Linked DNA regions of Macaca fascicularis. The protein of the gene in region 1 binds, or shares a complex with, the protein of each later gene. Links are inferred from orthologs where the notes say so. Each region holds a gene or a part of one and is shown on either strand. Other genes may lie near its edges. The genes, in order: ANKS6 and ANKS3.

What was found.
Region 2: the proteins of ANKS6 (region 1) and ANKS3 are in contact, whole or in part, in a crystal structure (PDB 4NL9), measured with the Homo sapiens proteins. The link is inferred for Macaca fascicularis from reciprocal best matches to the Homo sapiens genes ANKS6 and ANKS3. Residues at the interface, in NP_775822.3 of Homo sapiens: Glu796, Gln797, Glu798, Val799, Asp800, Glu802, Ala803, Thr806, Leu807, Asp811, Glu814, Leu815; in NP_597707.1 of Homo sapiens: Lys441, Tyr442, Thr470, Leu471, Phe472, Gly473, Pro474, Arg476, Lys477, Arg484.

Annotation. Positions count from the first base shown.
Region 1 is NC_088389.1:59,343,440-59,347,248, reverse strand, and holds part of ANKS6 (ankyrin repeat and SAM domain-containing protein 6), read right to left. Parts: intron 2,437-3,809; coding exon 2,392-2,436; intron 1,724-2,391; coding exon 1,519-1,723; intron 106-1,518; coding exon 1-105.
Region 2 is NC_088394.1:5,514,522-5,518,330, reverse strand, and holds part of ANKS3 (ankyrin repeat and SAM domain-containing protein 3), read left to right. Parts: intron 1-1,417; coding exon 1,418-1,558; intron 1,559-2,122; coding exon 2,123-2,232; intron 2,233-2,481; coding exon 2,482-2,646; intron 2,647-3,800; exon of another isoform or gene 3,801-3,809. UniProt on the Homo sapiens protein: May be involved in vasopressin signaling in the kidney.

The DNA.
Region 1 (3,809 bases):
GGATCATTCAGCAGCATCACCAGGTCAAAGGCTGTGTATCCATTTTTTGCACGAAGAGTGACATCAGCCCCTTGGTTTAGCAGATATTTGACAATTTCCTTATTCCTGGGAAGAAAATGCTAGAGTTACATTCACTGAAAGCAAAAGTATGGCTTTGCTCCTGGGCAACAAAACCAACAACATTAACTACAAGGCTCAGTCTCTGAGCATTTAAGAAGGGCATGGAAGGGCAAACAGTCTCATTCTCTCATTCCCTAGCACGTGGGCAGGTCAAGCGGGAACATGATTTAAATCAAAGTCTAAGTGTTCCTTCCAGGAACAAAATGAAAACCGAGGCTAGATGTGGTGGCTCACACTTGTAATCCCACCACTTTGGGAAGCAAAGGCGGGAGGATGGCTTGAGCCCAGGAGTTTGAGACCAGCCTGGGCAACATGGGGGGCCTTGTCTCTACCAAAAATTTTGTTTAAAAATCAGCTGGGTGTGGTGGTGCAAGCCTGTAGTCCCAGCTACTTGAGAGACTGAGGCAGGAGGATTGCTTGAGTCTGGGAGGTCAAGGCTGTAGTGAGCCATGATCACGCTACTGCACTCCGGCCTGGCAACAAAGTGAGATACTGTCGGAAACAGAAGGGAAGGGGAAGGGAAGGGGAAGGGGAAGGGGAAGGGAAAGGGAAAGGGGAAGGGGAAGAGGACCAAACCAAGGGCTCTGCCCAAAAATCACTGACCCCATGGGAGACCCCACTTCTTCCACCCTAAACCAGGACATGTCCATTGGGTAAGTCTCCTACAGACCAAGGTGTCTGAAATAAAATTTCATCTTGGAATTCAATGCTCATCGAAGAAGAAAACAAACTGCTTTCAGATGACACAGGAAAGTGATCTAATCACCTAAAAGAGGGTAAGGAAAGAACCTCTAATTGGGAATCAGATAACTTAGCAGCTACAAGATGCCCACCCCAAAGAGGAGGCCTCCAGGAGGATGACAGCCCACCCTGCTGGGATGATCACATAAGAAGGGGTTCATAAGCACCCTGTAAACACTGAAGCTTATTCAAAAGGAGAGAGGTAGGACACATCTCACCATCAATCATCACAAGATGACAATGGTATGAATCACCAATGTTTACTTCATACAGGGGCTACTTAAGGAGGTCACTATATCTCAGTGTGAAAACTCCAATGAACCAGTCATTGTGTTCAACTGAAACCAACCTAGAGAACCTTATCTCTCTGCATAAAATGCTTCTGCTGCATGGTTTTTCATGGCCACTGGTGAAATTCTGTGATGGGAGAACAGGAAATCTGGACACAGAAGGGTGGAAATAAAATGAACCTGTGCCGCTTTCATTTTTTTCTTTTCTTTTTTTTTTTTTTTTTTTTTTTTTTGCATGCCTCAATGTCGTCACAGTCCTGGGGTTTGTATGCAGCATCTCAGGACCAGAAGAGCCCACTGGAAACCCCCATCTCAGGCCAGAACATATGTCTGGCCTTGTTGCTGAGGGCGTGGAGCTGGCACTGACCCATGGTAGGTCGCCTGCATGAGGGCTGTCCAGCCATGCACGCTGTCCTGCTTGTCAACATCCGCGTGCCTCTCCACCAGTAGCTGCACCAGAGCCAGCTGCCCTGTAACAGCTGCTAGCATCAGGGGCGTCGCCCCGTCCCCATTGACCAAGTTCACGTGGCTGGGGTCTTCATCGGCAATCTCTTTGACCAGCTGGAAGTTTCCTACAAACACAAGCAAGAGTCTGGGTGATCTGTGGGCCTGGGACCATAAGCTGATTTATCCTGTGGTTCACGTAACCAACACTTGCTGGCCCTGCCTCTGCAGTGGGCTGCTGGGCACCATAGGGGATACTAAGAGGGGGTCAGAGATAGCGCTGACTCTCAAATGCCTCAGTCTAGGCGGGACAGAGACAAGCACACGAATGGGTAGAAGTGTTACTAAAAGACAGAAGTATTGTTAGTGTCTTCAGAGAACAGATGAAGGACACAGAAGGCAGAAGGAGAATTCAGGTCTTGCTGTGGGGTGAGGATCGGGAAAGGCTTCCTGGAGGAAGGGTCTATATCAAGAGAGAAAATTTTAGGCTAAATGTCTCTTTGTCACAAAGAGACTGGAATGGGTATGCAGAGAGGCATTTCAGAGGCAGGAAGAGCTGGGGCATATAGCTAGCCAGTGTTCGGCTGGAGTGGGGCTGGAGGCCCTCTGGAGTCTATGTGTAGAGCTCCATAATAAATACTGGCCTCCAGGATCTGAACTTCCAAACACCAAACACCAAAATGCCTGTTTCTTTCTCAAATAACCTGGGTGGCCCTGCAAAGGACTACAAATATTAGGTTGGGAGAATGTAGTTCTGTATTCTTAAATATCCAAAAAGATCTTCTAAAGCGCTTACCCATTTTCAATGCATGGAAAATATCAGGTCGCCTTTTCTCTTCATCTGGGTAAACAAAGATTTTAAAAGTTAACCACGGAAAGGTTTAATATAACAGAAAAGTCACAAGGGTGTAACAACACAGCCTGGCTTTAAAAAGCATCTAATTCTCAAAAGCAATCTAATTGGAGACCTACGTAATGGACAAATCCAGCAGCCCTTCTGGAAGGTCTATTACCAAAGAACATCTGAAAACACTTCAGAGACAGATCTTGCCAACAAAACACAAAAGAGCAGCAGATCACGGCCCTGATCTCATGCAAATAAAGCAATCATTTTTAGGCAAAACAAATGTTGGCATATCCTTTCCTAGATATACTGAAAAGTCTTGGGGTCTTGGAAAATCTTGGATTCCTATGGACATTGTTTAAAAAAATTTTTTTTCTTCTAAAAACTAAACATACAATCATAATTCCAAATCTGCTGCTGACATACCGAGCAGCTGAGCTCTACGGAAGTTCACAGACACAGCCAACAGAAGAGCCAATGCTCATGTTTTCTTTCCCTCCCATGTAAGAAGCAATCAGAACATGCTCCCTGCCCCAAACCTGCAGACACAGCTGCCCAAAGGCCACTGCCCAACTGGGCATCTTCATGCTGTACCCTGAAGCCCAGCTGCTAGGTTGGGGCCAGACCCCATGCCTACCTGCACAGCTGAGCCTTGCTGCAGCTGCCAGATGCTAGCCCCTCTCTCACATGCTCATCCCACACCTTCCTCCAAGCCTGGGCCAGCAGGTACCCTGCTCCTGTCAGAGGAGGCATCCTCATGGCCAGTCTGCTTGCTAGGGGGCTGAAGGCAGGCCTTCTGCAGTCTTTAACTGATCCCAGGGGACGGAGCAGCTGCCAGAGGGAACTTGTGAATCTGGGCTGACTCTGGTCCAGATAAGCCCTCTTGAGCAGCTGGGAGGAAGCTGCAGCCCGGGGCAAGGAGCACTGAGTGTGGAGTCAGTGCATAAGAATTTCAGTGCGCATTTTTAGAGTAAGCTGCCTCTTCATCACAAATGTGGGGATAACATCCCTTTCATCTGGCTGTTGCAGGGATCAAATGATAATGTTAAAGCCCCATTCAAAGAACAATTATTTCTTTACTAGCAACCAGCAAGGTGGACCCCAGAATTCTTTTTATGAGATGGAGTCTCACTCTGCTGCCCAGGCTGGAGTGCAGTGGTGTGATCTCGGCTCACTGCAACCTCTGCCTCCTGGGTTCAAGTGATTCTTGTGCCTCAGCCTCCCGAGTAGCTGGGATTACAGGCACATGCCACCACACCTGGCTAATGTTTGTAAGAGACAGTGTTTCGCCATGTTGGCCAGGCTGGTCTTTAACTCCTGACCTTGAGTGATCTGCCCGCCTTGGCCTCCCAAACTGTTGGGATTGCAGG
Region 2 (3,809 bases), on another chromosome or scaffold:
ATGTCTACAAAAATTTTTGAAAATTAGCTAGATATCATCTCCATGCCTGTAGCCCTAGCCCCAGCTACATGAGAAGCTGAGGTGGAAGGATTGTTTGAACCCAGGAGGTCAAAGCTGTAGTGAGCCATGATGGTGCCATTGCATTCCAGTCTATATAACAGAGCAAGACCCTGACTCAAAAAAAGTTTAGGGGGCAATGATAAATAGCACGTGCTGATTGTAAAAACTTCTCCATAACTAGGAAAATATGTAAAGAAGTAAGTTAGTTCCCCATGGTCCCACCAACCAGTCCTTTGGGTTCTTTTTTGAGACAGGGTTTCACTGTAGCCCAGGCTGCGGTGCAGTGGCACGATCATAGCTCACTGCAGGCTCCAATTCCTGAGCTCAAGCGATCCTCCTGTCTCAGCTTCCTGAGTAGCTGAGATTACAGACGTGTGCCACCGTGCCTGGTCAAGTCAGTCTTTTTATATAAATAAAGGGGCAAAACTGGAGTGAAATTGCCTGGTATGCATGCCCCCCCTTTTTTTTTTTATTTTTGAGACGGAGTCTCGCTCTGTCGCCCAGGCTGGAGCGCAGTGGCCGGATCTCAGCTCACTGCAAGCTCTGTCTCCCGGGTTTACGCCATTCTCCTCCCTCAGCCTCCTGAGTAGCTGGGACTACAGGCGCCCGCCACCTTACCCAGCTAGTTTTTTGTAGTTTTTAGTAGAGACGGGGTTTCACCGGGTTAGCCAGGATGGTCTCGATCTCCTGACCTCATGATCCGCCCGTCTCGGCCTCCCAAAGTGCTGGGATTACAGGCTTGAGCCACCGCCCCCGGCCGCATGCCCCTTTTTCTGCTTGGTTTTAGAGGAAGGTAGAGTTAGGTAATATCATATTATTGCCGTTAATTTTTAGCCCAAGGCCTTTTTCCTTCCTGCTCAGCCAGATCTCTTTTTCGCTGGGGTTGACTGGCCCGAGGAGCCCGCTAAGAGCCTATGGTTAAAGGTCATAGGGACATAAAGACACCTGGTTGACGGGTGTCTGTGTGAGGTCATTAGATACCTCCTGCTAAAAGGAACACTAGTGGTGTAGTTTCCTCTGGTCAGGCATCTGTAAATACAGCTTACCATCTCCTACGTTTTCCCTTTGAAAAAGAGGTTGCTCGGTACAAAGGAGAGGGCCCAGGCTTGACCTGGCTGTCAGCCCTGGCCCCACCATGCACTTGTCTGGCCCACTCACTGACCCTCAGAGTGACTTCTCCACCCACACACCACAGATAGAGCCATGCCAGGTCGCAGGGGCAAGTAGGTGAGGTCATGAGCGGGAAGTCGCCTGCCTCCATCCGGGGCCTTGGCCTCTGAGGCGGTGGGGGCATCTGGAACCAGGATCGGCTTCACTTTGGAGTTCCCTGGGCTTATGGGCTCTATTCTGTACACAGAGCAGGCTCCTCCCCGGGGCTATGTCACCTTCAGCAGCAGTGGTGAGAACGCCCTGGAAGAAGAGGGCCTCTGCTGCCGGGACGTCACCTCCCCCATCAACGAGCGGGACGTGGAGAGCAGCAGCAGCAGCAGCAGCCGGGGTATGTGCACCCCCACCCCTGTCCAGCCCGCGGCTCGGGCAGGTCCTGGAGCTCCTGTGTGCCCGTCCCCACTTATCCACTGGGCTTGGTGCTGGGACACAGCCCCGCCATCCAGCAGAGGACAGGCACAGGGGAGGCGTGGGCAGCCCTGGTTCTTGTGAGGAATGGGAGAAGCTTCTGTTCCAGCGTCCCCGTGCAGCCTGGGGGAGCCACTCCACACCAACAGGTTTAGCTGCTTGCTTGGGAGCCCCCTGAGGCTTTCCGGACAGGCTCCAAGAGGAATGTCCTGTTATAACTGCACCTCCGTGCAGCAGCTGCTCACATAGTGCCCACCGTACGCCAAGCCCTGCCCTGGCTGCTTGGGATTTATCAGTGAACAAAAAACAAGCCCTGCCCGTCTGTATAGAGGGGAGGGTTTAGAACAGGCAGGAAGCTTGAAACATAAGGAAGCAACCGCGGCAGGCCCCAAGGAGTGCCCTGGTGGAGGTGGCTCAGCCCGGGGCACGCCCATGCACAGCACCGCGGTGAGGCCTGCAGGCGGACGCCCTGTCTGTCCGCCCTCAGAGGAACATGCTTTCTGTGCCAACCTGGAGCCTGTCCAGAGCAGCAGCAGCAGCGAGGGCCTGGCCAGAGCCCAGGGGCTCAGCAGCGAAGCTTCTGTGGAGAGCAATGAGGTGCGGATTCTTTCTCGTTCTCCCATAGCCGGTCCCTGGCTGGGATGCCTAACATCCCCGTTACTTTAAGATGAGAACGTCCGTAACAAGCACGTGCTACACGTGTGTGCCGCGCTGGGACGTGCTGTGTCCAGGGCCTGGCTTCTCAGACGACAGCGAATGCACTGGAAGCCCGTGTGGCGGGTGGGGGTTCACCACGGCTCTCCAGTCAGTCCGTGCGCTCCTTCAGATACATGGCTCTCACCGCAGGACTCGGACCACGCCTGTAAAAGCTCAGCTCGCAAACAAGCTAAAAGTTACGTGAAGACCAAGAATCCTGACAGCCAGTGGCCTCCCCGCACTGGGACTGACGGGGAAGACTTTCCCCTTGAGTCCAGCCCCCAGACTCAGAGGGCCCCCTACTCAGGACCGCAGGTAAGACCGCTTGTGAAACTGGAGGTTACACTCAGAGACGGCACTTTTTGTGACTTATGAGGCATGTGTTGTGTATGTAACGTGCCAGGCTGCTTGGAGAACGGAATGGCCGTGGCGTCCCCATGGCCTGGTAGGCTCTGCAGGCTCACGGCCGGCTCCGTGGCTGACGGCCCAGCTGCACGGCTTCTGCTGTGTTCCAAGGACCTGTCTCCCTGCTTCCCATACTGGAGCTGGCTCCCCTGAGCCTGGGGAGAAGAAACACACCTGACCTCAGAGCTGCCTGCGGGAGTCTGACGGGATGCCGCTGAAGCAGAGACAGGGACCACACACGGTGTGTGCTTGGTGATGGTTACAGCTGCCACCATCCTCATCCTTGCTGTGGTCCCTCTGACCATGCATTACCTTAGGGATGACAGGTGTGACTCACAGCTCAGCTGTGTCACCTGTGTCTGCTGAGTTCTCCTACCCTGTGCAGTCAGAAGAGACACGGAGAAGAGAGGCAGAGGGAAGCTCTGGTGGGTTATTTGTTTTTTTTTCTTTGAGATGGAGTCTCGCACTGTCATTGGGCTGGAGTGCAGTGGCGCGATCTCGGCTCACTACAACCTCCGCCTCCCGGGTTCAAGTGATTCTCCTGCCTCAGCCTCCCAAGTAGCTGGGATTACAGGCACGTGTCACCATGTCCGGCTAATTTTTTGTATTTTTAGTAGAGATGGGGTTTCACTGTGTTGGCCAGGCTGGTCTCAGGCTCCTGACCTTGTGATCTGCCTGCCTTGGCCTCTCAAAGTGCTGGGATTACATGCATGAGCCGCCACGCCCGGCATGGCTGGTTATTTGTTAAAGCACCGGCTGTGCTGTTCAGTAGAGCCTTGCTATGCCGGCTTCTCCCTGCAGCCCCCGGCTCAGTGAACAGGCGCACACCTCGGTCCCTTCAACACACACTGAGTGGAGTCTGGTCTGGGTAGTGTCCTAAGTATGTTTCTTTCAGAAAACAGCTTGAGGCAAATGGCAGAGTAACATTCGTTTCTCCATTAAAAGCAATAAACTCTCAAAAGTAGGATTTCTGGAGTTGAAAAGTAAACTGAAATGAAAATATCACTAGACGGGCTCACAGCAGAATTGAGCAGGCAGAAGAAACAGAAAACTTGTGAACACAGGTCACCTGA